Linked DNA regions of Tribolium castaneum. The protein of the gene in region 3 interacts with the protein of the main gene of each other region in a pairwise test. Links are inferred from orthologs where the notes say so. Each region holds a gene or a part of one and is shown on either strand. Other genes may lie near its edges.

Region 1 (4,358 bases), about 690 kb from region 3:
TACCTACCATAATACTAGCTATAAATCATTCTAGCCGTATTTTATTTTATGACTAAAGTCGTTTCGGGCGATTTTTTAAACTTTCTTTACCGCAAACAGTTTTATGCGCACTTGAAAATAGAGCTAAAGCGCGGATTTATAACATTTATAATTTAATGAAAAATAAGTTTCTGAAACATGATTTATTTGAAAAAATACCAACAGTTTATTTTGGACAAGCGCCACCTCCTTCAGCCAAATGCCAACAGATCTTGTCACTCACTTTGCTCATTTGGCACAAGTCCCAGAACAAGTATGAACTGCCATTGTCAATCAGTTACACGGAGTAATAATAATCTCTTAGCATTCAATTCGTCAGACAGGCATTGGATCATCCTTCTCCGTGCTATAAAAATTTGGCCGCTGCCACTTCTAAGTTTGTTTCGATTCCAACAACTCGTTCATTTAAGTGACACCTGTTACAGTGTAAATCTCTCAAGCAATACCGTCTAGCAACACGTCCTCTGTGTTAACGGATTCACTTGAAAGAAATATAGTCATTTGATGAACGTTTTACGGTTTGTTATCTGTACAAAAACAAACTTGTGGAGACGACGATAATGTATTTATTGATAGAAAGTGGTATATTTCGAAATGTACGGGTTTCAATTAGTAGGCAGTGGCGTGCAAGCCCGTCACCCTCAAGACACGATGATGAATGAGCTCGTGACGTGCTCAGGTGATCCATCATACACAAGAGATTGGAGATGCCAAGGGAAGGTCACTTGCCGGCAATCCATCATTGCGGCTTTCACACCCATCTGCCAGCACCGTCAATTCACCTGCGCCCTACTCCTCCCCCCACGAGAATGAAATAAAATAACAACAATCGTTCTACAAACATTTTATTAAAGCAATATCGAAACTCAACATTAAATACTTACAAGTCTATACAAATATTTTTATTGAATTATTTAAAGATTAAAGTATCGTTGAAACGGGAGAACAACTTAGAAAGAAAATGGACTGTTTTATAACTTATTGCCCTATGATTAAGTCCGCTTCAGATTGCACTTAATTTTAATCAGCTTTAGCTTCGACAAAATTATTTACACGTTATCACAGTGGAGCAAACAGACCGATACAGACGCCATTCTGTATGAGTCAAAACATGAGAAAAATTACTACAAGTATCACTATGGATGCACAGCAGCAGCGCCAAGCCGTTGTCCGTAAACGGAATACGGAGAGTAATAAGCTCCAAGAGCCGTCGGATTAAAAGCACTGTATGGCGAAGCTCCCAAAGAGGTAGGTAGAGTGGGTTTCCCATACGGGTGATACCTCGCTGCCGATAACGGGCTAAGTGGAGGATTGGGGTACCCAGGCCTATGGAGCGACGCCGCCGACGAGAACAACGAATGGGGGTTAAGTAAAGGCGATGCCGAGGACGTCACCGCCGCCGACCCGTCAGACCCACTCGTGTGTGTTCTCAAATGTTGCAACAGTTCTTCAGATGTGACGAACCTCTTCCCGCAGTAGGTGTCCCCCGCTATCCAATTACACACATATGGCCGTCCCAGCTGAGGGTAAGCAAGTGACGACGGCGGCACGGGACCCGGGGGCACTAACGACATCGCCATGGCCAAATTATACTTCTGGTGGTCGCATTGCGTGCAGCCACTGGGACAAGGGCCAGATGCTCCACTCATCAACAACTGCTGATTGTGCATGCTGAATTGGCAACTGGTGCAATAAGGGTCTTTACACACTGGAACTAAAGCTTCACCACCTGATGGAGTTTTGACACGCGCGTAACTCAAGTACGGTCCCGGAGTGGCTCCCGGATAGCCGGCAGCGAGCATGGCGGCATGGTGGTGCGAAAACGGAGCTCCGGGAAACGGGGGCCTAAAAGCCGGATTCGTGTGTTCGAGTCCGGGAGGACAACACAGCGATCCCAAAGGGCCGTTCAGTCCTGACGATAACCCGGACGATAAAGCACCGTGTTTGTACGCCCCCAAAGGTGTATCCTTCGGATGTCCTTGCAGAATTTCCAGACCGGATCTGATGATGGGGCTTGCACCACGAGCCGACGGAGTTGAAGATTTGTTTTCACTCGAACCTGGAGAAGTTTTCCCTGTTTCGGGGGCCGGTGTCGCAGCGGTGCTGGTTGCTGGTGACACTGACTTCCGTTCAGGACTTTGCGTTTCTGATTTCTTCTCGTCACTTGGTGTCGAATTTTGATGAGTGGATCCTGATTTAGAGTTAGGCCGGTTGTCTTCGCTTTTTTTCGTAACAACATTATTTTCATATGGTTTAAAAGCGAGCTTATTTTCAGTCGGTGTGTTTCTTTGAGCACTCTTATCGTTTTTTACCGGAGGCGAACGCGTCGAATTCTCTTGCGACTTCTTTGGTTTCTCCAATGGAGAAATCAAAGGCTTGGACGATGGAGTGTCTGCTCCTATTTGACTGCATGTTTGGGCGAGGAGTGCCAACGGACTTTTCTTAGCATCCAACTGAAAAATAAATTTGCATTCAACCAAGGATTCAGTGTTAGCAAATAGCGCTCTTACCGTAGTGGGTAACGGTGATAGGTAATCCGGCTGCAAATATTGATTTCCGGACGTTGACAGCATGCCTCCACCCTCCAACACAACCATTTGGAATAAATGCACGTTTACGGCGGATAAAAACAATTACACGATTAATAAACTGACGGAACACGAGCGCAAACTAGCTTTCACACGACGGACAACTCCAGTATGAAAGTCTGAAGGCAACAGAGCTCCGCTCTCTAAACGAGAGGCTATTGCGCAGGTTTGGCAGCCCCTCCAGGCTTTGCAGCCCTGCTGAAAGTCCTAGCATGACAAAGCGCTAATACAGCCACGTTTCTGGCCTGTCGGTTTCTACCACCCATGAAGTTGGTGACGACGACAGACCTTCTGGATGCTTTGATGTTAGCCGCCCTTAAACAGGCAGTAGCGAACGAAATACGGGAAATGAACAACAAACCAAAAGCACAATGATGACGGATGGATGGTGGCGCAGTTCACTGCGAAGTTATTACAACCTGTCGGTCGTAAAATACGGTTGAGCTTTATTTATTTTATGGTTCCGTCTACTCCAGCTGTCATAACTTTTATAAACTTGTCAAGATACATTTTATCTATGCTTGATGCTATCGCAAACACTAGTTGGAGAAAACGTTAAAATCTCAGGGGCTAATTAGGAGACGCCTTTTGAGAACAATCGAATTCTCACCAAGGATATTACCTAATAACGTCATAAATCATTTCACGCCTTTCATCATCGACCTGACAGATTTGCCGATAAACACGTCGGCTTCTATTAATAATAGTCGTAGCAAACCCATTAGAAATCACTGTTAATTAGCTACATAATTTAAAAATAATATCTCATTTGAATGGATGTTTGCCTCCTTTATAACGAGTCGTAAATATATTTTTTTAATTAATTTAAATGGTGTTTTATTTCCTTTCGATAAAAACCCGACGTATAATTAATTAACAACACCTGACAGATTGTTGTTCTTCCTTCGCTTAACAATTTCGACATAACACGAGATTTAACAAGTTCGATAAATATCAATTTGGAAACCCGTCAGTTTTCGACACACATAACTAAAAAAGCAAAAAACAAATAAGCTGAAATTAGGTGAGACCAATATGTAGGTAATTGTCTTTTTTAGATCGAACTTGGTTGCCTAGTAGAGCATATACTGTCTTCTTGAAGACAAAATCGAGTAACAAAAAAAGTAGCGATCCACCTTCCACCTTCCACCTTCGGTGATTGCGTTGTTGTGGGCCTAAATGTTGTACCAAACTTGTTATTTACGATAATAAACTACTAAAGTGGTCGTTGGGTGCTATTAAATATTTTTTGGTTTTGTAATTTTGGTAATAATGTGGATAGGCATGTTGAAAAAGTCTGACAATAAAATAGTGAAGAAGGTTATTTATTCTAGTAGGAAGGTGTTGGTTATTAATTAAACTGAAATCTTAATAACCAATCTCCTGAAACATTAAAAAAGTCGAATCGGACAAGCCGCCTTCATCCTTGTTTGGTTAACGGTGCTTAGACGATGCCCCATCACCTTTTTCTACCACCACGCCTTATAATTACGACTTCCCGACTAAATGGGCTCGCTGTCAGCTCGCACCTTCATTTGTCTTTGGAGAGGACTGTGGCAGGCGCGATGGTTATCGTTAATGATGGTCGTGGAGTCGTCTCTCTTGCACCTACAAGCATTAACGACCACTAACGATGACGACCACATCGTTGCAAGCGTTCATAAAAATAACTCAAACGTTACGAGTCTAATTCACCGTCAAAAAACAGCCAATCTCTCGCAAACTTGTAGC
Region 2 (3,862 bases), on a different chromosome or scaffold from region 3:
GTGAAGCAAAAAAATCTAATGGTAACATTGACAAATAAATGTAATAGTCAAAATTGCCAAATTTTTAAAATTTGTAACCAACCTTACAAAAAAATCACAATCATTAGCTTTAAAAGCTACAATTAAAAATGAAAAAATATAGGGTCTTCCATTTAAAAAAACCTAAGTTTGTATTATAGCTCATTTCAGAAACATCCTGTATATTTGAAAATAATTTTAGATGTGGCAGAGGATTAGTATCTACGGTTTAAGAAAAAAAAATTTACTTTTCCAATATTTAGAAGTGAATAATGGACTTTACCAACTCGCTGGGACACCTCTATACTATACTGAAGGGTCTAAAGTGCAGCATTTAATTCCGCTAGCAGAAGGGAATTAGGCACTTTGGTCCCAAGGTATATACGCTATTTTTTGCACTTCCGAGACTAAAATAGTTATCGCACCAAAATACACCTTTTTGGCTCAATTTTGACGAAATTATGCTGAAAAACGGATCTAAAGTACTCCAAAAAGGCTTTTTCTCATTTCCGACCTTTTGATGAGTTCTTTTAGCTCAAAAATGTGCTTAAATGCTGGACTAAGCAGTTTGTCCTTAACCAAATTTCGGAAAATACATTGTGTTTGGACTGTCAAAATATTCGAAAAAAAAAAGAACTATATTTTTAACAAATTTCTTAATTCTCGGCTTTTTTAATGTTTTATATTTTTATTAATTTAAAGTAAAATAGGCTAAAAGAGCTTAGTCGACAATCTCTGACATGCCTCCAAATTACGTTAAATAATAAATAATTAAGTTTGGACAAGAAGTTAGAGAAAATTACAGTTTTCTTTCACTAAAATTTGTCTGAATTCAAAATAAATCTGTCGCAAAGTACTCCGCCTATTATACGAGAACAAATAAAGACAAACAACAAAACCTTGTTTTCTTAAGACTTATACAAAAGCTGAAAAAGTAAGAACCATCTGTATTTTTAAAACAATTTGGCAGTTTTTCGCCTTGTTTTTCCTGAAAATATACTTAAACAATTCAAAAATGTAAAAACGACAATACTTTTGACAAAATTTGGTGATTCTTCGGTCGGTAGTTACATCTGTAACAAGTTCAAATGTTTTTTTGGGTATTTTGTTTATTTAGTGAGCGTAACTATTGAACGTGATTCAGAAATAAACAAATATAGAATCTTGAGGAAAAAATATCAGATTTGCAATTTTTTTTGCTATCTTTTGTTTGCTTCTTACTTTCCTTATTAGTAATTAAATGTTTGGATTTAATCGTTGCAATTTTATTAAAATTCATATTTGTTCTGATTAAACCCAAAAGATAAAAATAATTATCAGTTGTTTTTAAAACTTAAAACAGGTATAAAATACTAGAAGAAGAAAAAGCTAACTTGGTGGTTTTTGGGACAGTTTAACTGAAATCTGGTAAAAATATGCGTAAACGCCTAAACATTGGAAAAAGAAATCTATTCAATTTGACGGTTTCTCAGTTTGTTTTTACCGAAATTCTTGCATTACTATATGACAAACCTGCCAAAACCATTTTATTTTATGAATTTTTAGTGTTTATTTTTTTAACTAATTGTAGGTAAAGTTTTTGAAAAAAATTACGTAAATTACAGTTTCCTGTAATTAAGGTCATCTAAATTCGAAGTATTCCGTTAGCGTTAGCAAATTGATAAATATTTTGTATTTTTTTACAATCTGTTCGTAAGTAAATGAAGTAGATTCCTGTTTTAAAAATAATGACTTACCGCTTCCGCTGAGTACAGACTCCTCCCGATTATACCCATAGACCGTATTTTCGCTAGCCGTATAAAACGGCATTGGCATGTATTCCAACGGATTATACGTCCCACTATACGGCATATAATTCGGTACATTTGGCAAAGGTCCAACCGAATCCGTATCCCCTTGTATTTTCAAATTATTCATCGCCGAACACAAATCTCCGAAAATATAATAACATTGTTCCGAAAACGTTATTTTATTCACTGTATGTCTTATAAATCCGGCTTTGAGTAAATGTGACGCGTATTTACGAGCGTCGCGACGCTCCTGAAAGCCGTCAACATGCGTCAACAACCAATCGATCATATCTGTACCGATAAACGCATTCGGTATTGTTATTTTCAACCACATACGATCGCGGATTTCTAAACCGCTATCGGGCCGTTGCATGGCTTGAACCACCGTCGCCATGGGCGTATTCACCGTCAGGGGCTCTTCCAAATCGGGGAAACCTTCAATTACAAAAAAAATTAAAAAAAAATTACAGACACCTGTAAAACATACGTTCGTTTGCCGGAATTGTACTCGTGATAGAAGTACTCGAAACGGTCGAACTACTCGGGGGCCGCGCCACCGGGTCGCCGCGCACAGCCGCCGTGTGCGCCACCCACGCCCCTAAAAAAATATGAAAAATGTTTTTTATTAGTTTTTATATTTACTTTGCGTTTATAATACGTTTATTAACGTCTATCACTGGTTAAAATCCACAAACTAAAAATATTTTTATTATGCACAGGCTGTTGTATACAGGGTAGTGAACCAAAGTTATATTTTTTTTAAATGGAACACTCTATATAATTTTTATAATTGAAATCTACGCAAAAAAATACTGTAACTTTATATAAACTATTATGAGTCTATTTTTTCGTTCTGGAATTATTTAACTTTTCGTTATAAAAAAGACCAATTTCTCAAAAATCAATGCAAAGTCGCTTATGAATATTTTCCGGCAAATTTGCAACAGAAAAATTCAGAATACCTTGTAGTTTTAGCAAAGAGACGACTTTTAGTTAAAACATGCAGATAATATACAGAGTGTGCCAAACGCAAAAAGTTGAATAAATCTTTTTTTCAAATGGAACTTCCTGTATTTTTTTCATGTATTGATAGCATTTTTGATAAGCTTTCTAACAGTATAAGGTTTGCATAGCAAATTTAAAATATTTCTCGAGATTTAAAAAAAAAGATTTTATTACAAGAAAATTTGTTATCCTAGAATCTAAGTCAAATGATAATTTATTTTTTGATATGTATAAATGTAACCAATTATATTAGTAACCTAATTAGTACTTGATAAATAAATGAATTTTACTCATCAAGAATTAATAATAAAATAAATAAAAAAAGAGAAAAAAACACTTTAAGAAATATTTCAAATTTGCTATTCAAGCCGCATATCATTAGAAAGCTTATGAAAAATGCTATCGATACGTGTAATGAAATACATGGTGTTCCATTAAAAAAATTAGTTATTCAACGTTCTGCGTTTCGGCACACCCTGTACATTATCTACATGTTTCAAGTAAAAGTCGACTATTGCTAAAACTACAGGGTATTCTGAGTTTTTCTGTTGCAAATTTTTCGGTAAATATTCATAAGCGACTTCGCAGCAATTTTTCAAAAATTGGTCTTTTTTATAACGAAAAGTTATAAATCGATTACGTACCCTGTATACTAATTTTAAATACAGTGGGGTCCGGATATAACAAATTGCACTATAAGCGGTAAATTGAAAAGTGTTTATTAGTAGTTATTTTTATTTTACATATGAAATAAAACGAAATAAATAAGTACTTATTGTAAAAAAAACATGAATCCTTTGGGAAACAGTAATAGAGGTTGATTCAAAATGTTGTTGCATAATTTGAATCACAAAAATTCCTCTACAAATGATAATAAATCTAATGGTTTTTGTTGGCCTGTCTCACTTAATAGAAAAATTACAGCTTTCCAAAAAGTCGGTATGAAAAATAATTTTTGGAGAATATCTTCCTTATTGATTATCCAATTATTAAACTTGACAATGTAAGAGACGAAAAGACGCTCTTTAATGTGATGTAAAAGACGCTCT
Region 3 (4,945 bases):
TTTTGACTGCCGTTTCCGGAAACGGCAAAAATCGATGCGGTTTCATGTGGAGGCAAGAAGGCGCGTTCGTCCGAAAGCAACCCCCGTCGGGTGCATTTTCGTCCACCTATGAATCATTCTCACTTGGCCGTTTATCAGTTTCAGATCGGTGCCGATTTCGTCACAGTCGAACGAGAAACAGTGAAACATCCCCGAATGAGACACCTGACCTACGCTAATACCTTGGTGGAAGAAACAAGCAAATGTTTTTGGTGCGGTCCGTAGCGAGCAAAATACAAAAGGGGGTGTAACTGACTGGGCCACGGTAATACGTCATCGCTCATCCGGACTGAGTCCGGCACAATTCGGGACAAGTCCGGGACTCCGGCGCGGTAGACGAAGGAATTATCATGTGAATGAGGAAATATACAGAGTGGAACGCTCTCAAAGTCTTATACGAAAAATAAGGAAGCGCTCATATTGAATGGCACTTTTTGAACAGGCGAGGGTCGGCCCCTTGTACCTGACGGACCCCTCTGGTTAAATTATGAAAGTGGATGAGGGCGCCATCTGAGTGACGTGCCCAACACTATGGGATCATGTTACAGTTGCCAATTTTTTTTAGTCAGGAAAAATTTGAAAAATTTTGGTACTTTTCCCATTTCCGTCCTGTTATGTTAATAAAATGAAATAAAATAAAAGAACGTTGTAGCTTTATGCAAATTTTGCGAATTTATGATGTTGTTATAGAAGATTGAACTTTGACATACGAGTTTCTCTAATAAATAAAATCCGTCGGAATCATCTCCGAACACGCTTTTAATCGTCCTCCCTGTATAGCGCGATAACATAAGTGTAGTAGATCGTGCGTTGGCGGCAATAGCGCTAATAAATCAAACTATAAATAAAAACAATTTAAGCAATCGGCGGCCCGTGAAAACCACAGCCGCTTCTTCAATCAATAATTCTTCAGCGACGTTGTAGTAATTTCGAAAAGATATACCTTTGAACATTAGAGTTCGCCATCAACTCATTACTCTCCAGCGTATGAATAGAGCGTCTCGCAATAACGACCGAACGAAATTTTTTGTCGGCTCGTTAGCGATGTCCTCCCGAAATATGAAACGACCTTAACCAAATTATATTCCATTGACCCAAGACTTGAGAATTACGAACGCCGAACTCAAAACACGGATTATTTTGGTCAAAGCGGACGATTTTTTTACGGGAATATAGGACGTGCTCATTTCAAAGGCGTCTAGACGGCCAAATAGGCGAACAGCTGATCGTCCCTCGTGCTCTGACAAGGACCCGATTTGTTCGACGAGGACGAGAACAGAGAAATTCGACTGAGGGACAGAGATGTGGCAATTCAACCCTGATTTTACACGCACTTGACTTCGCTGCAGGTTCAACATTTACATAACTTTGAGGTGCGGACATCGCGCGCACGGGCCAAAGGGCAACAATTAGCACAAAAAATTTTGTTTATTCAAATTTATTTTATTTTGCAATAGATAATTAAGTAGTTCCAGCGGCAATAAATAAGGCACAAATTATGAATGACAAATCATTGAAAAAATAAACAAAATTTATGGTGTTGTACGTCGGCAACTTTAACATTCCCAAATAAATTACTAATTTAACGTACTTTACTATCGACTGAAATTATATAAAATTTTAATTTTAGAAAATAGAGGAAGCAGACGACGAAGATGAATCACAAATAATAAAATAAAACGGTTCGTCATATTGTGCCAAGAAATTTATTTTTGAATCAAAGAATACCCACCAGAAATTTAGGAAAAATAGATACAGATAAATAATTTATTTAATCATTAATATAAATCATTTTCCGGACGACTAGAAAGATATTCAGTTAAAAAATCGTTTACAAACTTACTAAAAATCTGTTTTTCGGCAAAACTATTTAGAACATTTATTATGTAAAAAGTTCGTTTCTTAATTAATTATTATTAACTATTATTTTTTTAATGGAGATATAAATAAAAAAAGTCGTAACTAAACATACTGTCTTTAAATATAACTAGTTAATAAAATCGTAACTTGAACCGTGGTGGTCCAAAAAGTAGGTACAATAAAAACCCGGAAACAAACAGTTTGCTCGAAATTTTTAAAAAAATCTCCCGCCAAAAAAATTTATTCTTGACTTTTGATTCGCACTATGTGTTTAGAAACGACTATTATTTTCACGTTTGGTATTTTGAAATGACATTTTTTTAGTGTCACAGCAATGAATGAAACATTTTTGGTTTGTGCTTTTGAAATGTTACAGTGTGGTGCACGTTTGAACGGCGTGCGATTCGGCCGGAGTTAGCGCGTTTCCTGCAAATAGCGTCCGCAGCAGGAGTCCGTAGGCTTAGACCTATCACCAACCTGCAATGGCCATCCAGGGGTAAAACGTGTGGTTGGTCTGCTGGTGTATCTGCGTGCCAACGGGCTGCGAAGAGGTCGAGTTGATACTGCAGGGGTTATTCCACGAGAGCGAGTTGCCCGTCCGTCCTGCGGCCGCCCCCGGACTCGAGGCCGGATCTCCGCCGACGAGCCCGACCGACCCGTAGCCAACCCTGGAGTCCGGCGTGCATGCCGCCGGCCTGACCGGCCCCGTCAAACTGTTCGTGAGATTAGCGCCACCGCCAGAAGTCGCACTTTGCCAAACGTCCTTGACCGCGGCCGCCGCCACCACCGAGGCGTATCCGTTCTGGTCGGCGTTGCCTTTGGAGCAGTCCGGCTTCGAGTTGGAGGAGTAGTTGGAGTTCTGCTGGCCCTCGGAGGAGTAGAGCTTGCAGGCGGCCGCCACCGAGGCGTCGTACGGCGAGTCCTGCGGGGGCCGCGCCTGCAGGTGGTGGTGGTGGTGCTGGCTGGAGGCGTACGGGGACATGCCGAGCGACAGCGGGAAGGAGCGGTAGGCCGCCGCCGCCGCCGCCGACTGCTCGTGGTGGTGGCCCGCCACCGACCCGCTCTGGTGGTGGTGGCTGCCGTAGAAGCCGCTCTGCTCGAAGTAAGAGTTCATGCTGGGGGCGGCACAAGTCACTCGACACCGGAACCGGACATGACAGTCACACGATTATTATTATTGTTATTAGCGAGAGTGATAAGGTGATAAGAGCTCGCACGAGCACACCACACAGCAGCTCGCTCCGGAATGCACACGTTGGCTACTTTGCTCGCGGATGGGAACCCACTGGAGCTCCGGAGTCTGCTCCGGCCCACACATCCCGGCCCATCGCTCCCCTCTCCCCCCACTCCGGACGAGCACGCGGCTCATTATTGCAGCTACCTGTATTGTCGGCCGATCGGACACGGTCGCACCTAATTAGCGCCTGACCGGCTTCTCCAAAGGCTAGGTTTCCTCCAGAAGGGTCGCGAAGGCCGTAATAACCCCTAGAGCACGTGCTTCTACACGAAGACGCTCTAATGGAAGGGATCATACATGAACCAATAGCAATTGAATTCGTCACAGCCTTCAAGCATTGCGCAAGTGGCCCCCAACGAGACGAAGAGGGGAGGCGCGTGGCGCCAGCTCTCGGACAATTGCTCAACCTTTCAAAACGACACTCTTGCCGAAACGAGCAACATCAATTGCCAATAAAAGATAAAACGACCATCACACCACCAATATAAACAAAATCATCGAAAAGTAAACGCTACATTTAAAATACTCTGATTCCGCTGCCAAACCCTCAATATATTCACCGTTAAAGTACAAAAAGGAAAGCTTATTTTATTTATTATTTTTTTGCATTCTGCATCACAATTTTAATGTCTATTTGGTTTGTTAAAACAATTAAATTCACAATTTCTAAAAACAGTACGTAATTTTATATTAATATTCAACTAAAACAGTAAGATTTATTGACGACGGGTAGATAAGATCTTGTTCTGTAACTTTTCATCGCACTTGATTTTTTAGGCAACAAATCAGACTCCAACCGCTAAACAAGTTAAAATCAAAGAAACACTCCATTTTTTTAAATGTTTTTAGGCTGTATAAAGAGCGGTATGCATTCAGCCCTTTGTTACTGCTTCAGGTACCTATTAAAACATTCTCGCTTTTTTGACTTCATCTTACACTGTACCATGTCGGTATAAAAACCAAAGCTAAAGTTAATTGTTGCTCATTTTCGAGTAAGGGTTTTAATATACTACCTTAATGTACCTACTTTTCTGTGTTCCCAAAATACAATAAACTTAAATTGCATTTGAATGAATGTGCTTTTGTAAATTTTACTGCCCGAAAAACATTCAAACTAATAAAACTAAATTATTTTGGACCGTTTTTTCTTCGTGCACATACCTAATCCAAATCAAATCTCATCGAAAAATACTCGTACCCCATTCCAAACGGATTAATTAGTTCAAAAAAATTATAGAAGTGTCTCTACTGGAATTATTCTAACTACAAAAATCTCCCAACAATAGTAGATCTAGGATCTAGGTATGTATAAATATTTTCTTCAAACAAATAAAAACAAATAATAATGTAATAAATTTCTATTCAGTAAACAGTAAAATTATTAACAACCAATAATAATTTAATGTTATCCTGATAATAGGTAGTATATACTACAATGAGTCGTCAATAACAAAATAGGAAAAAGCCCGTCCGGGTGTTTAAATAAATCCCTTTTGCTCTTATCCTCTTGTCGTTACTGAATGGTTGAGGTTCCGAGGGCGGGGACGGAAAAAGGCCAGATTATTACAGTTTACACAAACCAGTAGTAAAAATTTTACGGCATTGGCACGCTCCTGGCACTTTATGGAGTGGCGGTGTCATAATTTTGCCATGGTCGTAGGTGACATTTACGATCACTCAAATCGTAATAAAATCAACTTTTATTGCTGTCTTACCTCCTTGCATATTGAAAGTGCCGAACTTGACACTTTCCAAACACTTCTCGACATAAGGATGAATTTGGCCGAACGAAAGTTTATTGTATTTTTA
Region 4 (4,196 bases), on a different chromosome or scaffold from region 3:
TGTAACACATATTGACACAATAAGCGATGAAAAACGTTAGCAACGTGATGGGATTTTTTTCCATTTTAAGACATGGGATAATTAACACGTCCGTGAATGGAAAAATCATTTTCATGACGAGTTGAACACAAGGCTGGAAAATGAGTGCACGTAATTTTTGCTTGAGTTTATCATTAAGGTTTGAAATAATTTTCCTTATTTTTTATTCACTGGATAATTACAATCACATCGTAAAGTTTTATAGCACATTTTCCTTGGCATTTTGTGAACGATTCTGAAAAAACAATTTAATTCAAGCTGCGCTTAACCGATGTCGCGGCTATTTCGCATTAACTCTTTGTGTCCATTGGCTGCTTATTTAAAAATTTGCCGATTTCTCCCACACATGTTTAAAAATAAGCCAACCTTGCTGATTTATGCACTTAATATTCTGCGTATGTTTTGCTCTAATTTTACGTTGTTTTAATTGAATGGATTATTGTTGCTGGTGTAGTAGTTTTCATCGTACCCCACGTGACGCGGTTCCTTTGTTTATCGATATCGGGTCATTGTTTTAGGCAAGGAGAGCGCAATGAGTCAGTCGTTTGCCAAATTATGCATAGGTTTTGTCCTAAATGACATTGTATTTCAGGCGCTAAAAATAAGAGGGAAGAAGCGGAGGAAAAAACCGAGGAAAAAACAAACTTAAGACTCTTACTATAAATAACATTTTATTGTGGCCTTTTTACATTGTTTAAGCATAATTATCAAAATACAACTCGAATGAAAAACTTATTGTTTTATTTTCCGTCCAAAAAACACACAATTGTACAAATGATCGAAAAATGCATTTTTTTGGAATTTTTTATAAAAGCAGTTAAAAACCCAACCTTGAACAATGTTAATAAGATTTGTTATGTACACCTAAGAGTTAGTTGGGAGGGGACTGTTAATAACACGGAGTATATGGTAGAATTTTCGAATGTAGGAAAAATACAGTCTGTTTTACTTTATTTTTCATTTTTTTAAATAATAATTACAAATAGCCTATGACAACTTTTTAGCCTTTTGATAAAGCGTATCTACTACTTTGCTCATACTTTGTATTGTTTCTAGCGCCATTTCATATGTTTTATCTACAGGAGTTTCTTCGAAAACAATTAAGACACCTAAAAGTCAGAGAATAAACAGTGAGTGGGTTTGACAAATTGCAGTTTTGTTTACCTTCTCCTTGGTCCAAGATGCCGTGAAATTTGGCGTCTAGAATCATCTGCGACAGCTTCTTCTCGACCTGTGGCATGGGCAGCTTTATCGTTTTGGCGACGTAATCGACCTGGACTCGCGAATAAGGCTCAATAATCCGGCAGAGGTTCTGTTCGAGCATATTGTCGTATAACGTCCCGAGATGTGCTCTGACGATGACGTCGTCCTCGAGCTCGTGTTTGAACTGTTTGACGGCCTGCTGGAAGTCGGCGAGCGACCTTTTGTGTGAGGCTTGTGCGACGGCCTTCATGGCATCGATGTCCTTCCCTGCGTACTTGATCGCCAGCTTCCCGCTGACGATCTGCTGCACGTCCTCCGGGTTATTGAGCATGATCTTGGACAAGAGCATGTACTTGAGCGCGGTCAGCGCCTTGGGGGACTCCACGCTGTCGAAGCCCTCGAAGGCCTCGTAGAAGTACGAGTAGGCGGTCTTGAAGTCCTTCTCGTCGGCCGCGTGCAGGATGCCCGACTGGAGGTCCAAGGCGGCCTGCATCTTGGGGGGGCAGTAGATCGCGTTGGCCGTCGTCCTGGCCGAGGTGAGGGCCGCGCGCGCCTTGGGCAGGTTGCTGAGGGCGTGATATGTCTTGCTCTCCAGGAGCTGCACCTCCACGAGGAGGTTCTTGTCGTCGAGCTTCTTCAGCTCCTTGAGGAGCGTGGAGCCGAGCTGGAGGGCCTCCGTGAACATCCCGGTGTCGAAGTAGAGGGCGATGAGGCGCGCCTCGAGGCTCTGTCGCAGGAAGGTCCTGCGCTCCTCCTTGGCCCACTCGATGCACTCCTTGCACAGCTGCACCTCGATCCCGATGCCCGCCTCCAGGTCGAGGAAGAAGTCGACGAGGGAGCGCACCAGTTTCGCCGCCTTCGCCTTGCTTATCATGCTCAGGAAGGGTCGGGTGGCTTTGATCAGCTCGGCGAGTTCCTTGGCCTTACCTTCCTTCTTGTACTGCTCGCCCAGGTTGAGGATGTCTTGTTCTTTACTTTTGATATTTTCTTCGTCATTGTCGGGGTCTTCGCTGGCACGTTTCAGTTTCAGGAGTTTCTCGTGGTTCGAATTTGGAACAGATTGCGCTCTTTCAAACAACATTGCACCCGCCATATTAGTTGTCTAGAAAAGCACTGTCATTCAAACAGACATGTCCGCGAAAATAGACGGCGGTGGCTAAAGTCACAACACCGTGTCAAATATTCACTGTTTCACGCAATTTTGAACGCATTTTGCACCCCAGAGGCCCCAAAGTGACAGTCTGACTTGCAAACACCAATTTTGAAAATTCTTACTGAAACCAACTTGTTTCCAAGCGACTTTTTGTGCCAACAATTGTTTGTTGTATAGTTGATTGCATAACTAACAGCGGCATTTTCCATTATTTAAAATTCACAACCGGATGAAATAACTTCTTGGTAAAGTTTTATGTAATACTGTACAAATACCAGTTCCGGCAACTTTATCGCGTATCCAGAAAACCACGACTTCTAATGAAATAAAATTCTTGAAATTTTGATTGATAATTATTATTTTTTTGTTAATAAATAAAGCCAAGTTTTTTATTTAAAAGGTCTTTTTATTTAAACGCAATCCAAACGCGTGATTTATTAAAAGATAGTAATTTTCTAACAAACCTTTTTACAGTCTCGCAATAAAATTGACAAAAACTGATGCATTCAAATATCTCAACGAAATCTTTTACAATCCTACCCCAGTTACAGTTCATATTGTCTCCTAAATTTACGAGGCCACCAAGTAGCAGTTCATAAAACAAATTTTTAAACAAACAAAGAGTTAAACAGAATAACTAATTGTCTAACTAGGGAAGAAAGACACGATTATAGACCGTTTTTCCTCTTTCAATACTCACAAGCTCAAAATAAGGAAAAGCAAAAGCAAAAAAATACCATTTCCGAACTTATTTGGTATTTTTGCTTTATTTTTGGCAAAATTTTGTTAAATAATTGGATTTGTAATTCAAACTGTTTTTCGAATAAGTGTCGTAGGTATTTTATTGGCTCATTTTTCGTAAAATTTAATGCGTCTTTGGTTGAAAAACTCGCTATAACTTTGGAAAAAAACAACAATCATTATCTAATGCAATGACTTTTAAGTAAGTTCAGTTTCCGTAAAAGTTAATAAACTCTTGAAAAAGGCTAAAACAAGACAACTTCCGATTTGATTTGGTGATTTTTGGTCAGGCTTAACGAAGTCTTGTTGTATAACGCGCTTAAGCTATCGAAAAATGCTAGAATTATATAATTTAAATTCGACTCATATCTTTGTGACGTTCGGCTTATTTTTTACGAAACTTCACGAAATAATTGCGTCTCTGGCGGAAAAACGAGCTGAAACTATAAAAAGGACTAAAGACCTAATTTACAAGAGTTCATTATGATTTAGTTCAAAAACCTTATAAGAAGTAAATGCTGAAATAACCATTTTACACCTGATTTAGGTATTTTTCATATGGTTTCTCGAAATAAGGCTTTTTTGAACGAAGAAACCTGCTAGAACAGTTTAAAATGCTAGAGCAATGCAATTTTTCGCCCCGATTTAGCGAAAAATGTGCTTAAAAACTTTTGAAAACACAAAATCCTGGGTCTGTCAGGTGCCTTTATTGTGTTCTAAGATTTCAAAAGCAAAATGCATAGTCTTGATTGGGATAATTATGTGTGTAATGTGATAAATAAATCCACTTCTATACTAAAAATACTTTATTTCTAAAAATTATGACAAGCACGTATAAAAACACTAAATTTAAGTCAGTATTGAGCAATTCCTAAAATTTGTACAGCACCAGATCATGCCTCGCTTGACTGTCTCACCTCGTCTTCTGACGCCGCTCGAAACCTCGCCGCTAAATTGGTAGCCAATCTACCGATATCTAATCTAAACAAAGAGATATTGTTTACAATTCAAAAAAAAAAAACGCGACTTACTGATGGCGGTTCCCCGGCTTCCTGACTCT
Region 5 (4,614 bases), on a different chromosome or scaffold from region 3:
ACTTGGACATCCTCCTTCCAAGAAGCGCGTGTCAGAGTGACGTCCATTGTGCCATCATAATCCATCCGGGCCCTCGGCCTTGAATCCGTCCCTGTCCCCCAGCTCACTTAGTAACAAATCTGCCTTTATCTTGACTAATATGTTAATCGCAGAGACAGGGTGTCCATAGAGTTGAAAACTTGACCCCGAAAGAGAGTATCTCCAACAGACAGATCGCGGTGACCCCAGACGAGTAAAACAAACAACGCTATCACTCCTCACAGCCGCCTTGCTCCACAATGCAGCAGCGTTCCAACCAATTTTCCGACATTCGCGAATTCAAACAAATCATCAAAAAAATTTATTTCAGCAGCAAAACCAACAAATTCACTATCAAAAAAACTCAAATCACTACATTACAGTGAAAAATATTCGTCGGGGAATACAATGGTTTATTTACTAAAATATGTACCGGCATTTTGTTTGTTTAAAAAAAATTAAAACCCCCTATGACAGAAAACTCGTTTTGTTGTGGTATATACGAGGGTGGTTCAAAAAAACACCCCCTACAAAATCATTGACAAATTTTCGAAATAACACTTTTAATTATGATTCCGCTTTCCCACGCTGGAAATGGCGACAAATTAGTTATGACAGTGGATGTTAATTATTTTCGGAGACGTCCGCTTTATGGCCACTAAAACGGAGATACTTGATGGAAATTAAAATTCAGTAGCCGGCGGTTTAGTGTTTCTCATCAAAAGCTTTTTTCGGTGTTTTAAATTCGAATAAATTTCCTGTTCTACGACTGCTGGAGATATGGAGAGTGACGCAACTGTCAAATTTCACGTTTCAGCGCCATATGTCATGCATGATTTGCATTTTTTCACCGTTACCACCTTCTAGGGCCGATGCTAATTTGGATTAATTGACTTTTGCTTTTTTATTTATTTATTAAAATTAATTAGAGTGATTCACACAAAAGATTTCTACGCCAAATAACACCCGATTAAGCTATTACATAAACTGTTTAAATAGTACGTTTTATCAAAAACAGCTTAAACTTATAAATATTTATTAGAACGATGGCTGTGTGAATTATATGAATCAGGCGGTGTTACGCTAATTTCGACTTATATTTAAATTATAGCCTTATTAGTTCGTGCATTTGCTGGTTTAGAAGTACAAGAATTCGGAGCGAAAACAGGCAAAACCAGTGTCAATTGAAGATAAATAAAAATTCTTCTTAAAGAAGATTATTTCACCTTCTTTGGCCACAAAAGAAACACACAAAAGGCAGAATGCTAAATCTTGACAAATTTGCTTTCTAATGCCAGACAATGACCAACCCTCCCATAGAGAGGACATGTTCACTCTCACTGGGGTGTTTGCCAGGCAAAGCTTGCCTCAAATATACAACAACATTAACTACTCGTACAATTCCAAAAATCAAGATATTTAAAATATTCTAATTTGCAATAAAAATCTTAATTCCATATTTTATCGACGTTTAAGTCAATTACGGTTAATTTTAAGTACTCATAAAAATAATTTATGGGTTAGTCAATAAAATAATAGTAAAAAAATTAAATTGTTTGATTTTATTAATAGTAAAAATTAATCCTGTTATTTGTTAGATGGAAAACGGTATTTTTGTTGCTTAAGGTGGGACAATTTTTAAAGCTATTTCTCGTTTATTCACATTTTTCTTGGAAAAAAGCAAAAAATGTTTTCGATCAAAGTAACCCGTGACAGTTTAAATTTTGTAAATTTTTTCTGAGAATTAGCAGATAATTATTTAAAAAAATTAATTCTTTACTTGTTCTTGAATAACAAACGCCAGCTTATGTTTCTTAAGGTGAAACCTGGCCTATTTTCTCTGACTGAATATTTTAATTTTGTAACTTAATATTAACTTGTTCTTTTTAAGAGAGAAAAGTTATTTTAATTGATGAACAAACTTTCTCACTCTGACAACTTTTTTAATTATTCAAAAACTATAAGTATACAGAGTGTTCAATTAACTCCTAATCATAGTAGCCTGTGACTATTAAAAATGTATGACATTTGTCCAATTTTCACAATGTTGCTAACTTCCAAAGTTACAAACCAATCAATAATAAAAAAATTGTTTTTGTTTTGACTACTTAACATTTTGAAATTAATTTTTTTGTCTGTTTTTAGGAAAAAAAAATTGTTTTGTTCTTGTGACATACCAATTTCAATTCCAAAAAATGTAGTACCTAGTTAGGTATACAGGGTGTTCATCATAGTTTCTTATCAAAGTGACCTGTGACTTCTGGTTTAAGTTGGCAGTGCCTGACCGGAAATTTAATAAAAAAAATATGTATAGTAAAACAAATGATTTGAGGTTCTTGGTTTCGGAATATCCCACCATCGACCTTCAACTGTCTTTAATCCCATCCGTACCATCACAAACCCATAACTTTCGGTAATTAATGGCGACCTTCTACCTGATAATAATAGAGTCAATTTGGCTACTTAATACCCGACTTTTTTGCAAAAAAACTACAATTTTTGATTCGATTCGTCCATGGCCTGCTTCCTCAACCGCTGGTTAAAAATCCCATCACATATGACATAAATATTAAAATCGAAGTTGGCTCATTTACGCTCCATAAATGGCAGCATTCCTAATTTGTCCAGAGCAGGCTATGTTTTTTGATCCAAATGTCAAAATAGTTTTTGTTCGAGCATGGACGACTAGATTTAATGAGGTTGTAATTGTAGGTACGTCTTAACGAGAAACAATTTCATTTCATGAATGAAAAACTCACTCTTCGAGACCGGTTCAACAAATATAGAATAAATGGAGGTAATAAGAAAGTCAAAAAAGTAAACATAAAACTGAGGAAAAGATCCGTCGGGTGTGCTTTGGGCTTCCAGGGCCTACCGCCACTTACCCAATGCATCCCGGGCGTGTGAGAAGCTCTTTCTTCAAACACTCCCATCTGCAGTGACGGCAGACCCGGTGACGTTTCGTACTTTTCCGAAGCTTCTTCCGTCACTGCGCCTTCAACAACCCCCACAGACACAACCCTTAACCCAACACTGTGGCCACTGTCACATCAACCAAAAAAAAAAATTTAAAACAATGTCACATCACTCGCTACGTCACTGGTAATTGAATAGTTCCCGCACACCCGGTACCGACTTAGTGCCGTAAACAAACACTTGTGTAAAAAAATCGCTGCGCATGTCACTCGATTTACATCACTATATTACAACGTCCAAGAGTGCGTGTGTAATAGCGTTACACACTTGTTTTGAGCGTCCGCGCACTCAGACGGATCGCAGGCGGCTGGTCTCTTGCGCATGTGAGAAGGCGAAAAGTTTAAGCCCCGCCTTAGGGTAAAGGGTGGGGTTAGCGGGGAGTGGAAGGGAGGTGCTGTCCTATAAGCGAAGCCTTCGTATTTGTTTATGTTGGAGACAAATGCAAGGGATGCGATTGTCACGAGGGTGGGGGTGGAGTGGTAATTATAGCGCGAGCAAGCCTGATGATGAGTTCATTTGTTTGCGGTTTCATGAATGGAGTTGTAGGGATTTTTACGACTTTGTTAGTTTTATCGCGTTGGCGGTAATTGGAGGTTTTGTTCTGGTGAGATAGCAGTTGTCAGCGGTGGTTTACATATCACATTTTATGGAGAATGCACTTAATCATTTTGATATGCGATAAAGCGGGTTTGTAAGACATCCAAGTGGAAGATAAAGGTGTTACAGGTTGGTACATACGTAAATGATGGAAAAAATGAAAAATTGTTATGATAGGTCGGCTAGAAGACAGATGAAGCTTTCAAGTCTAATTAAATAAAGTAAAAAACAAATTTATTCCAAAAATTGGTTTATCTTTTTGGAACGCTACTAAAGTAGACTGAGTGTCTCCAATAAATTTTGTTATCTTTATCTAAGCATAATAAGAACATAAAAACACTTAGACAATGATAAGAAAGACATTAGGAGTAAATAGTGTTACTTACCTACTATGAACCAATAAAGAAACGGAACTGCATTGTCAAAATTATCCAAAAAAATATTGGTATACAAATATATTTTTGAATTTATACTAAAACACTAAAATACCTGAAAACAATTTGCTTTCGTTTAAAGTGAAATGAATTAAATTGTATAAAACCATTATAGTCATTATAGTAGAAATAAAAATTCAAATTTTAGCTAAAAATTTCAAAAATTGAAATGTTTCATAAGTACCATTAATACTGGCTTAAAAAACTGTAAAATGAAATATGTTTCAAGACGATATACTGAAAAAAAAATTCAATGTTGTAAGTAGAGGAGACCGGGGATAGTTAACTATAGGGGCTAATTGCCTATAACTACCTATCTACATATTACGCCGATTACAGCGAATCTAAAAAGAGCTAGAACAAAACGTTTTACTTAATCGTAAAGAACACTTTAAAATAGAGTATAAGTTTTAATAATATTTCTTGTAACACTTTAAAAATTTGTATTGTTTTTATGTTTTTCAACAAAACAAATTTAATAAAAATCTATGTGAAATGATTCGAGGAATCGACAGCCGTTGAGAAATTCGCCATATTTCTAATATTTTTTGAGTTATATTTTTTATGTCGAACAAAATCTTGGATAAAT
Region 6 (4,602 bases), on a different chromosome or scaffold from region 3:
AGTTAACAAAACAAGTTTCTAGCTCCAGATTTTTTAAGCGGTACGCTATGTCAATAAAACTAAATAAGCATCTGTTTGTAAATACTGTAAATGCTTTACACCTGCTGCAAACTTTAAAGCTCTTTGCCTTTATTTTATTATTATTATTATATTATTTATACTTAAAATCTATTCCAATTTTCTTGAGTGATAAACTGACAGTACTGTACAGGATGTTGCATTTTGGATGGGCGAATAGGCTCCAAAACTAAGAGGTTTAGAGAAAAACGCGTGACACATTCTCGGGTCCTTTTTTTGAGAGAATCATTTTGGTCAAAACCGCATTTCGCTATCGTCTTTTGTTTTCGACTTATAAACAAAAGTTGACATTTTAGTGAAATCTTAAAAAAAAAACATCTTCCTTATTATAAAAGATACACATTTAAAACAAAGACATTATACAGGCACTTTTTGCCAAAGAATTTAATAATGTTATCAGCAATTTTTTTTAATCATTCGTTTAGCTGTAATAACATAAAGTTGTATTTTTTTTAAATGAGAATCATAGTTGACTATGACATTTTTGAAAAGCTTATTTTTTTCTGATTTGATATGTCTATTTGTCTTATTGTTTTCTGAACTCAAAACAACATAAATATAGTGAGATATTTTTATATATTTTTGATAAAAAAAATTTAAATTTTTTAAAGTAGTTGGCCATGGAAAAATTATTTCACATAAAAGGTGTGAATAATCTAGAAAGTTTGTGAACGGTTTTTAAAGTAAAAAATGTGAAATTATCAAAATAAGCTATGTTAAAGTTATTTTCAATTGAATAAATATACGAGCGTCGCAGATTTTAATTACATAAAAAATGTACAGAAAATAGCAAACGATATGTCACTACCATTTGATGTCACTTTTTTATGATTTAGTAAAGTGCAATGGAGGTGACATTGATAATGTTGTATATTTTTTTACTGCAGGTGGAATTTGATTTTGGAGTTTGAATTGTCATTTTTTTGTAAAATAAAATTTTATTGATGCGCAATCATAAGATTTTTCTTCTTCCGTCATTGCATGTTTAAAATTTGAAAATATGTAGAAATACAACGTAAGCTTGCCATTTTATATAAAAACAAATAATTTTTATTAATTGCAAAAATTTGATCTAATAAAAATTTATTATGCTGTTTTTGAATTAATTAGGGTTTAAAAAATCATCAAATTATAATTACTGTTAGGTAATACAATTTTCATAGTTTTAATTACAAATCCAAAATTTTTTCATGGCCAACTATAAAGAAAAAGCGAAATGTTTTGTTTTTTCTTAATTATTTAAATTTAACGTATGACACAAATAGACATTAAATCAGAAAAAAATAAGCTTTTCGAAAATGTCATTGCCAACTATGATTCCTATTTAAAAAAAATATAACTTTATGTTATTACAGTTAAACGAATGGTTGAAAAAAATCGCTGATAACATTATTAGATTCTCTGAAAAAAAGTGCCTGTATAATGTATTTTTTTCAAATGTGTATCTTTTATAATAAGGAAGATATGATTTTTTTAAGATTTCGCTAAAATGTCAACTTCTGTTGAGATTTAAAATTATTTTCTCAAAAAACGAAGGCTGGTTTCCAGTGAGCAAAGGCGTTTATTAATCGGTGTTTCAATTTTCAATAGAATTTTTCGCTTTCGTAACACATTTGTTCATTAAAATGCGTTTTGTACTTTCTCATCATTTACATCACGTTATTTGATTACTCATCGAGCATAACACAAACTTGAAATTTAAACAGGACATTCAACTCAGTCTTCCCTTATTGATAAGAGAATCGATCAGTTGATAAAAATGAATTATCGTTTCTCGGTGAATTACCGGGAATTAAATTACATCTATAAAACTGTCCAAACTAATCCAACCTGTTATAAAACAATGTACAATCAAATGCAATAAAATTGTCCAAACATGGCAACTTGTCACATTTTTTCGATATCTATCAACTTCGACAAAAATGGTGAGGTGGATGAATCACCAGCCAAACGCAATGTTGGTACATTTCCGGCTTAATTAATATTTCACAAATGTTGAATGTAAAAGCCGGTGACATTTTTGACGCATTTTTTGTTAACTGTTGACAAAGTAAAAAAACTAATTTCGTCGTTGCAATAATTTAAGTTCAAGGACTTGACGACATACGAAACTGTCAACAGTTTGTGTTTGTTTGTGATAACACCATCGACTTTGTTTACTTTCTATTTTGTAAAATTAAAAATTGAATAACTTTAGTTGCATTTAAATTTTAAAACAAGTAGGCCATTGTATCGACAATTTCACTCCTTCTGACTGTACTTATTAGTGATTTTTAAATGCCAACTGTGTAACGTAAAACGTAAAAAATTCACCGTTTGTATTAAAAATTGACGCGATGAAAAATTTAGGCAAGAACTCTCCCGTTTTTACGTCTCGCCGTTTCGTGAGCGAACAAATAATTCAATAAAATGTTTACCCCCCAAACCCCCTAAATTTCGCAGTCAAGTTACCCGCCCCCGACGTGCATCTTTTGTTGGTAATTTCGGTAAATCCTCATTCTTCTCTGCGATTATCGATTGGCATTCGCCGCCGCCGTCGCGCTGCCACCCCCGACCCCTGTGCAGGCCGCCCTCAAAAATCAATCCCGTTTTAAAAATGCAGCGTAAAATTCCGCCGCAAATGGGACAAGGTCGGGGGCAGAATCCGCCACCCCCATCACGTGACGCACGTGCAAAACCGGAAGTTACGCAATAGGCAGTGGGCCGGTGTCGCGAAAATTCTGACATTTGGCTTTTTTCCGGCGGGGGCTGCGGGGCCGGGCGCCGATCGATGAGTCACCCGCGCGGAATGCACACGGGGGCGCAGCCCCGCCGCCGCCCGGGCGCGGGGCACCCCCGCGGCGGAAAATGGAGGAGCGTCCCGAGATGATGGCCGTTTGGGCCGGGAGGAGGCCGAATCGGGGGGAAATATACGCACCATCGTAACGTTCGGCCTGTTCTGCCAATTTCGCCTTGTAGACGTTATCCTCCCGTTCAGACATTTTGCGATGATTATCGATAGAAATTTCACAACACTAAAAAACACAGACACTCAACGTACTGCCAATATGGCCGCGCCCGCCACACTAAACCCGAACGCGATCGGACGCACATCGGCTGCCTCCGGCCCACGTCACAATGGCGCCAAATTGAATAAATAATTATTTAATCCTGCTTATCTTTCACACACTGCATGCCACAATAATTAAATTATGCGTCCTAATGGACAGCATTCGATTGACAATAAGGGACTGTTTTTAGAAGCGTCGTTTCCAGATCAGGGGAATTGGACCAATCAGATGCTCAGATTTACGAACTAATGCCAGTTTAAATTTTAATCACTGATTAGAAGACGCTTTACGGCTACTTTGGTGTTAACTGAGTGTGTTTATACAGAAGTAGAGCAAAAATAACAATTTAGGCCACTTAAAAATACAGATAAAAAATTTATGCACAAATAGGGGATTTCCGAAACTAAAAGGTTTAGAGAAAAACAAGACACATTTTCCGGTCCGCTTTTTGAGAAAATAATTTTGGTCAAAACCGCATCTCGCTATAGTTTTTTGTTTTCGACTTATAAACAAAAGTTGATATTTTGGCCAAATGTTAAAAAATTTATATCTTCCTTATTATAAAATATAGACATTTGAAACAAAGACGTTATATGGCTTTTTTTTATAGAGAATTTAATTATGGTATCAGTGAATTTTTTTAATAAATCGTTTAGCTGTAATAACATAAAGTTGTATTTCTTTAAATAGAAATCATAGTTGGCTATGACATTTTCGAAAAGCTTATTTTTTTTTAAACTGAAAATAATATAAATACAGTTTGATATTTTTATATATTTTTGATAAAAAATATATTTAAAATATTTGAAAGCAGTTGGCCATGGAAAAATTATTTCACATAAAAGGTGTGAATAATCTAGAAATTTTGTGAACGGTTATTAAAGTAAAAAAATGTGAAATTATGAAAATAATCTATGTTTAAGTTATTTCCAATTGAACAAATAATACGATCGTTGCAGAATTTAATACATAAAAAAGCAAAAAAATTGAAAACAATGTGTCACTACCATTTGATGACTTAGTGAAGTGCAATGTAGTATTTTTTTACCGCAGATGAGATTTAATTTTGGTGTTTGGATTGAGATTTTTTTGTAAAATAAAATAATAATAAATAAATAAAATTTATTATATTATATATTGACAGGCAATCATACAATTAATAAGATTTTTTTTCCGACATTACTGTAAAGAAAAAGCGAAATCTTGTTATTTTTTAATATGTAAAAATAATGTGTTACACAAATAGACATATCAAATCAGAAAAAATAAACTTCAAAAATATCACAGCCTCCTATGATTCCAATTTAAAAAATAAAACTGTTATTACAGCTAAACGAATGTTAAAAAAATCGCTGATAACATTATTAAATTCTCTGTAAAAAAATTAATCTGTGCTCTGAGCTTAGTTCTTCAAAATTTATTAGAATGCGCTAAAATTGGCAAAAACAAAAAAATAAGTCTTGCCATAAAAAAA
Region 7 (4,695 bases), on a different chromosome or scaffold from region 3:
GAGGAGTTTCAATACGCGAAGATACACACCTTTCGAATTCGCGGCGATCCTACTTTGGGTTGGTAGAGGATTCTTATCGTAATTGGGGTCTTCGACTTCCTGGCAACGGTAGGATAGGTTGCGCAAGATACAGACGCAATTCTCGACGATTTTATTGCCTATGTTAGATTTGTCTATGGCACAGCGTACAACAAACAACAACGCATCAACCAGTCCTTCACATTCCCTTAATCTCTTCCTCGCGTATTCACCAGCCGAACTAACATTTCGAAGCACACCTGAAGCGTTTCTGAATACTGTGGACCAGCAAGTTTCCCCGTGGTTTCCTTGCGGGTCCCATCCCGAATGTGGGATTATTATGTAGGTGACGACAGTACTAATCCCATCGTCGATTATATTACGTTTGAGGTCTTCGCATGAGCTCATATTCCATATAACTCCCGTGACGAGTTCTTTGATTTCGGCTTCGTTGGATCTTCTTAGAAGGTTAATTAAGGCGGGGATTCCCCCGGAATTTTTAATAGCTCTTTTGTTTTCGTCGTTTTGTCTTCCGTACGAAAGGTTTCTCAATGCGCCGCATGCATTTCTATAAACTTCTACGCTTTCGTGACTTAATAGTTTAACAAGGGGAGGTATGCCGCCGAGAGCTCTAGTCTTTTGTTTATTGGGGTCATCCATATAACAGAGATGTTGAAGATAGGCCGCTGCATTAGCTTTGATAACATTATTAGGATTATTAAGGAAACCAATGACTTCAGTCAGATTCGGATCGCGCCAACGCATGCCCCTCTGGTCGTCGTCTCCACCTACACTGCCCGGGGACGCCATATTATGGGCCCGGTTGTGTGGCAGGGCCATACTATGTCCATGTAGGGACATTTTGCTCATATGTTTTTGTAATTCTTCGTCCTCGAACATTCGCATGGGGGCTCCGACCGGTACTGGACCGTTTAGACTATCTTCATATGGACGTGAGTCGTAAGTTGGTCCTTGGTGTACAGGGGCGGTGCCGTAGGGTGAAGGTGAGACGTACCCGTAGACGACTCCAGGGTCGTCCTGGTACGGATCTAAGCCTACGATTGGACCCCCAGGCGACGGAGTCACCCTAAAATGTTCAGGCAATTCGTCATAGCCGGAGCTCAAATATTGAACTCCTGGCTGTGCACTTATCGGTATGGGGGAGGGCGCGCCGCTGTGCTCGCTCGGACTAGGGGGCGTCGGGGGGCGCTCGGCCCCCGGGGGGTACCCCATATACGCCCCATACGGGTTAGGGTAGTGCTCGTAGTCTTGATAGTGTGGGTGTTGGTGATATTGCGAATACATATGGTGGGCCGGCTGTTCCATATAATCAACGTACTGACTCCTGGGGTGCCCGGAATGGGGGTACGAGCCCAAGGGCACTGGGATGTACTCTCCCGGTTGAGCTTCTCCGAGCTGTTGCACCTCGCGTACGACTTTGGTCACAGTGGTCACTTGCTGAGTGGTTTGTTGCTTATGTGTGCGTACTAAAGGCTCGTCACTATGAACAGACATATGGCTCGAATTTGGTGAATGTTCTGAATGGCCATTGCTATGCGTATGATAGACTCCTTCGTTTACAGAACTTGAGGCGTCCGAACCCCTGCACACAAACCAGACACAATTATAAGAACGTTACCGATATCTAAAACATTAGAATACTCTCAAAACCGCATGCAGCCAACTTACTTATAATGCTGCATTTCGGGGACCTTCTCTTGCAATACTCGCCTAGAAACAATAAAAATGAGCATGATGAATGACACTTTTGACACGTTTAAACCACCACAAAAACTGGCCCTAAGAGAATTTGGGCCAAGCGCATTTGTGGTAGACATAATTAAGTGATGATTAATAAAAATCCCGAAAGATGAGCGATTCAGTTGCAAATAGAATAAGCAAGATGTGAATGAACCCCCTACCTTTGCGTGATTTCAGTATGTGTGATGCTGTGCTCTTGTCTTTGCTCCACTCGACGATTCACCAGGCTGCCAGTGTAAAAGCAATCAATGTTTTAGCGAAGCGATAACATTTTAATGTCGTGCAAAAACTAAGTCAATAAAAAACACTAATGTTTATTGGAAAATTAGTCAAGATGTTTTATCAGTTGTTTGAAACACTACATTCCAGTAAATGATAAGTACAAGTAAATGATTAGTCGGTTTGTACGCTACTTACAGACAAGAATCCATAAGCTGATTACCAGACATGATGAAAGCTGTTACTTATTTTTTCCTGTGACATACATGCAAACAGACATTAGACATAAGCAACTAAATGAAATCGAACGATTCGAATTATATTCATTTCAAAATAAAATCACAAACATTGAAACAAACATAATTCTAGTGCGCTTTGACACGAGATGTTATGTTAGTGGGTTAAAGTGAAAAGTGATACAATATAACCAAATAAAGACCAAGCACATACCTCTCGAATTATTAAAATCTGTTCAATATTAAACACTGTGCTTTTCTCTTAGCCATTAGGTTGCATTCTGAAAGAAAGCAGCAATAATTAAAACGAGAAATTTGCGATGTAGTACTTCATTTTTGATTTCTCTTTAAATCGCACCATACAATTCGTGGGAAAAATCCTAACGTCGCACCTCCCAATTTTTACTTAATTTTTTTGGTGTCCGTAATAGTCGAAACTGCTCACAAATGAGGTTCTGAAGGATATATTCCGAAACGATTTAAAGGAAAATAAGGAATTGATTTATAAATGACAATAGTTATGTGGTGGGGCGGGGCTAGAGTGTTTACATTCCATGGTTTGTAGTAAAGTGGCGACCTAAAAGCCGCAAATGCATGTTTCCGCAAATTGACTCACGGGACTTGGGGCCACCTTATCTCATGTACTTTATCCGTAAATGCGGTTATTTCCGGCGCAAAACACCTCCGACGTACCTTTCATGTTTTCCTAGAGTCTATAAGGTCGAGGCACACAAGAGGTACAATGGAGAATACGTCACCAGAGAGCCGCCACTACTGTCACTCGTTCGCCGCAAAAATGACCCTTTCGTCACATTTCTTGACTGAGTCCGATGCAAAAAATGAGCCAAACTTAGTTTGAGAACTAATCCGGGCCAAAACTCCCCTTAATTTGCGCTTTTAACAATGAACAGACGACTTCGCTTACGGCACCAGTCAGACATCACTCCCACTCATGATGCATGCTGGGTAACTGCAGCTTTAATCGAAACTTGCATAGGAGTTGAGCGATAACGAAGGGTTTGGGGCGCCCACAGCGACCAAAAACAGGTCCAAAGCATCGCTTGTGGGCCACTAGGACGGGACAAGGCTCGTACGGCGCTAACAATCACCGAAATTTGCAAAATTAATCAATTTAAAATCGCGGTTTGAATAGCGCGCTACAGGTACACCAACCGCTTTAATGACAGGTTGTAGCGTAACCAAGAAATGTGATGACGGTGGTTAGTGGCTCAAAATCGTGTTTTATTCAATTTTAACAAATCTAACGTCTCGTTAGACATGATTGCGATCTGACGGCCCGATTGAAGAATTTTCTGGCACTAATCATCCTCCACACTAATAATGTCGTCGTCAGCTATTTACATTCTCGACGTTAAGGGCAAGGTGAGGGTGTAGAAGGTGCCACAGTGGTCGGACAATTGCGTTTTAGGTCCTTATTTCACGGAACTATCGGGGCGATATAGACTTGGGGGTGATAGAGAAGTTCATGCCTTTACTTATGGAAAAGGAGGAGGAGGGGCTGCTCACCCCTCTGCTCCAAACTGGCGATTGCACCTTTGCCTACATCAAGACAAACAACCTGTACATTGTGAGCACCACCAAGAAGAACGCCAACATTGCGCTAGTTTTCGTTTTCTTGCACAAGATTGTGCAAGTCATGACTGAGTATTTCAAGGAGCTTGAGGAGGAGAGTATTAGGGACAACTTCGTCGTTATTTATGAACTACTGGACGAATTGCTCGATTTCGGTTACCCCCAAACCACTGACAGTAAGATTTTACAAGAGTATATCACACAAGAGGGCCACAAGTTGGAAATACAGCCACGCATTCCCGTTGCTGTAACTAATGCGGTTTCGTGGCGTTCGGAAGGCATCAAGTATAGGAAAAACGAAGTATTTTTAGACGTGATAGAGTCCGTCAATCTCTTAGCTAACGCGAACGGTAACGTCCTACGCAGCGAGATCGTGGGGGCCATCAAAATGAGGGTCTATCTCTCCGGCATGCCTGAACTGCGTCTGGGTCTGAACGATAAAGTATTATTCGAAAGCACCGGTCGCGGAAAATCAAAATCGGTCGAGCTAGAGGACGTCAAATTCCACCAATGTGTCAGACTATCGCGGTTTGAAATCGACAGGACCATATCCTTCATCCCGCCGGACGGCGAATTCGAACTCATGTCCTACCGTTTGAACACACATGTTCGTAACAATCGATTTAACTCCCCAAAATGATCATTTTCTCTAGGTGAAGCCGCTAATTTGGATCGAATCTGTCATCGAACGGCACGCACACAGCCGTGTCGAGTACATGATCAAGGCGAAGTCGCAGTTCAAGCGCCGCTCGACGGCCAACAACGTCGAAATCGTCATTCCGGTGCCCCACGACGCGGACTCGCCCAAGTTCAAAACTACGATCGGGAGCGTCAAATACGCCCCTGAGCAAAACGCCATCACCTGGAC

What was found.
Region 1: the proteins of Ubx (region 3) and noc interact in a two-hybrid assay, tested with the Drosophila melanogaster proteins (2 studies listed by BioGRID, with this or other methods). The link is inferred for Tribolium castaneum from reciprocal best matches to the Drosophila melanogaster genes Ubx and noc.
Region 2: the proteins of Ubx (region 3) and dsh interact in a two-hybrid assay, tested with the Drosophila melanogaster proteins (2 studies listed by BioGRID). The link is inferred for Tribolium castaneum from reciprocal best matches to the Drosophila melanogaster genes Ubx and dsh.
Region 4: the proteins of Ubx (region 3) and Rpn6 interact in a two-hybrid assay, tested with the Drosophila melanogaster proteins (2 studies listed by BioGRID). The link is inferred for Tribolium castaneum from reciprocal best matches to the Drosophila melanogaster genes Ubx and Rpn6.
Region 5: the proteins of Ubx (region 3) and apterous a interact in a protein complementation assay, tested with the Drosophila melanogaster proteins (2 studies listed by BioGRID). The link is inferred for Tribolium castaneum from reciprocal best matches to the Drosophila melanogaster genes Ubx and ap.
Region 6: the proteins of Ubx (region 3) and 14-3-3epsilon interact in a two-hybrid assay, tested with the Drosophila melanogaster proteins (2 studies listed by BioGRID). The link is inferred for Tribolium castaneum from reciprocal best matches to the Drosophila melanogaster genes Ubx and 14-3-3epsilon.
Region 7: the proteins of Ubx (region 3) and catenin delta-2 interact in a two-hybrid assay, tested with the Drosophila melanogaster proteins (2 studies listed by BioGRID). The link is inferred for Tribolium castaneum from reciprocal best matches to the Drosophila melanogaster genes Ubx and p120ctn.

What each region holds. Positions count from the first base shown.
Region 1 is NC_087397.1:7,793,707-7,798,064, reverse strand, and holds noc (zinc finger protein Noc), read right to left. Parts: upstream 2,788-4,358; 5' UTR 2,637-2,787; coding exon 2,550-2,636; intron 2,493-2,549; coding exon 1,176-2,492; 3' UTR 868-1,175; downstream 1-867. UniProt on the Drosophila melanogaster protein: May negatively regulate Notch-induced cell proliferation in the eye-head primordium. Required for development of the supraesophageal ganglion and ocelli.
Region 2 is NC_087401.1:8,569,116-8,572,977, reverse strand, and holds part of dsh (segment polarity protein dishevelled homolog DVL-3), read right to left. Parts: intron 2,407-3,862; coding exon 2,296-2,406; intron 2,244-2,295; coding exon 1,755-2,243; intron 1-1,754.
Region 3 is NC_087397.1:7,100,674-7,105,618, forward strand, and holds the start of Ubx (ultrabithorax), read right to left. Parts: upstream 3,014-4,945; coding exon 2,377-3,013; intron 1-2,376. UniProt on the Drosophila melanogaster protein: Sequence-specific transcription factor which is part of a developmental regulatory system that provides cells with specific positional identities on the anterior-posterior axis. Binds the consensus region 5'-TTAAT[GT][GA]-3'.
Region 4 is NC_087395.1:22,742,138-22,746,333, reverse strand, and holds Rpn6 (26S proteasome non-ATPase regulatory subunit 11), read right to left. Parts: upstream 2,505-4,196; 5' UTR 2,336-2,504; coding exon 1,204-2,335; intron 1,149-1,203; coding exon 1,027-1,148; 3' UTR 692-1,026; downstream 1-691. Other genes in the region: uncharacterized protein LOC103314281, read left to right, coding at 632-688; uncharacterized protein LOC103314280, read right to left, coding at 4,030-4,117, 4,168-4,196.
Region 5 is NC_087394.1:3,057,730-3,062,343, reverse strand, and holds the start of apterous a, read right to left. Parts: upstream 3,127-4,614; 5' UTR 2,952-3,126; coding exon 2,904-2,951; intron 1-2,903. UniProt on the Drosophila melanogaster protein: Required for the normal development of the wing and halter imaginal disks.
Region 6 is NC_087401.1:11,228,848-11,233,449, forward strand, and holds the start of 14-3-3epsilon (14-3-3 protein epsilon), read right to left. Parts: upstream 3,163-4,602; 5' UTR 3,060-3,162; coding exon 2,996-3,059; intron 1-2,995. UniProt on the Drosophila melanogaster protein: Positively regulates Ras-mediated pathways. Acts downstream or parallel to Raf, but upstream of nuclear factors in Ras signaling. Three mutants have been isolated, that suppress the rough eye phenotype caused by mutated Ras1 (sev-Ras1 v12).
Region 7 is NC_087403.1:4,511,922-4,516,616, reverse strand, and holds the start of catenin delta-2, read right to left. Parts: upstream 3,216-4,695; 5' UTR 2,928-3,215; intron 2,516-2,927; 5' UTR 2,449-2,515; intron 2,254-2,448; 5' UTR 2,229-2,253; coding exon 2,197-2,228; intron 2,007-2,196; coding exon 1,941-2,006; intron 1,750-1,940; coding exon 1,708-1,749; intron 1,622-1,707; coding exon 30-1,621; intron 1-29. Other genes in the region: AP-1mu (AP-1 complex subunit mu-1), read left to right, coding at 3,576-3,617, 3,664-4,434, 4,481-4,695.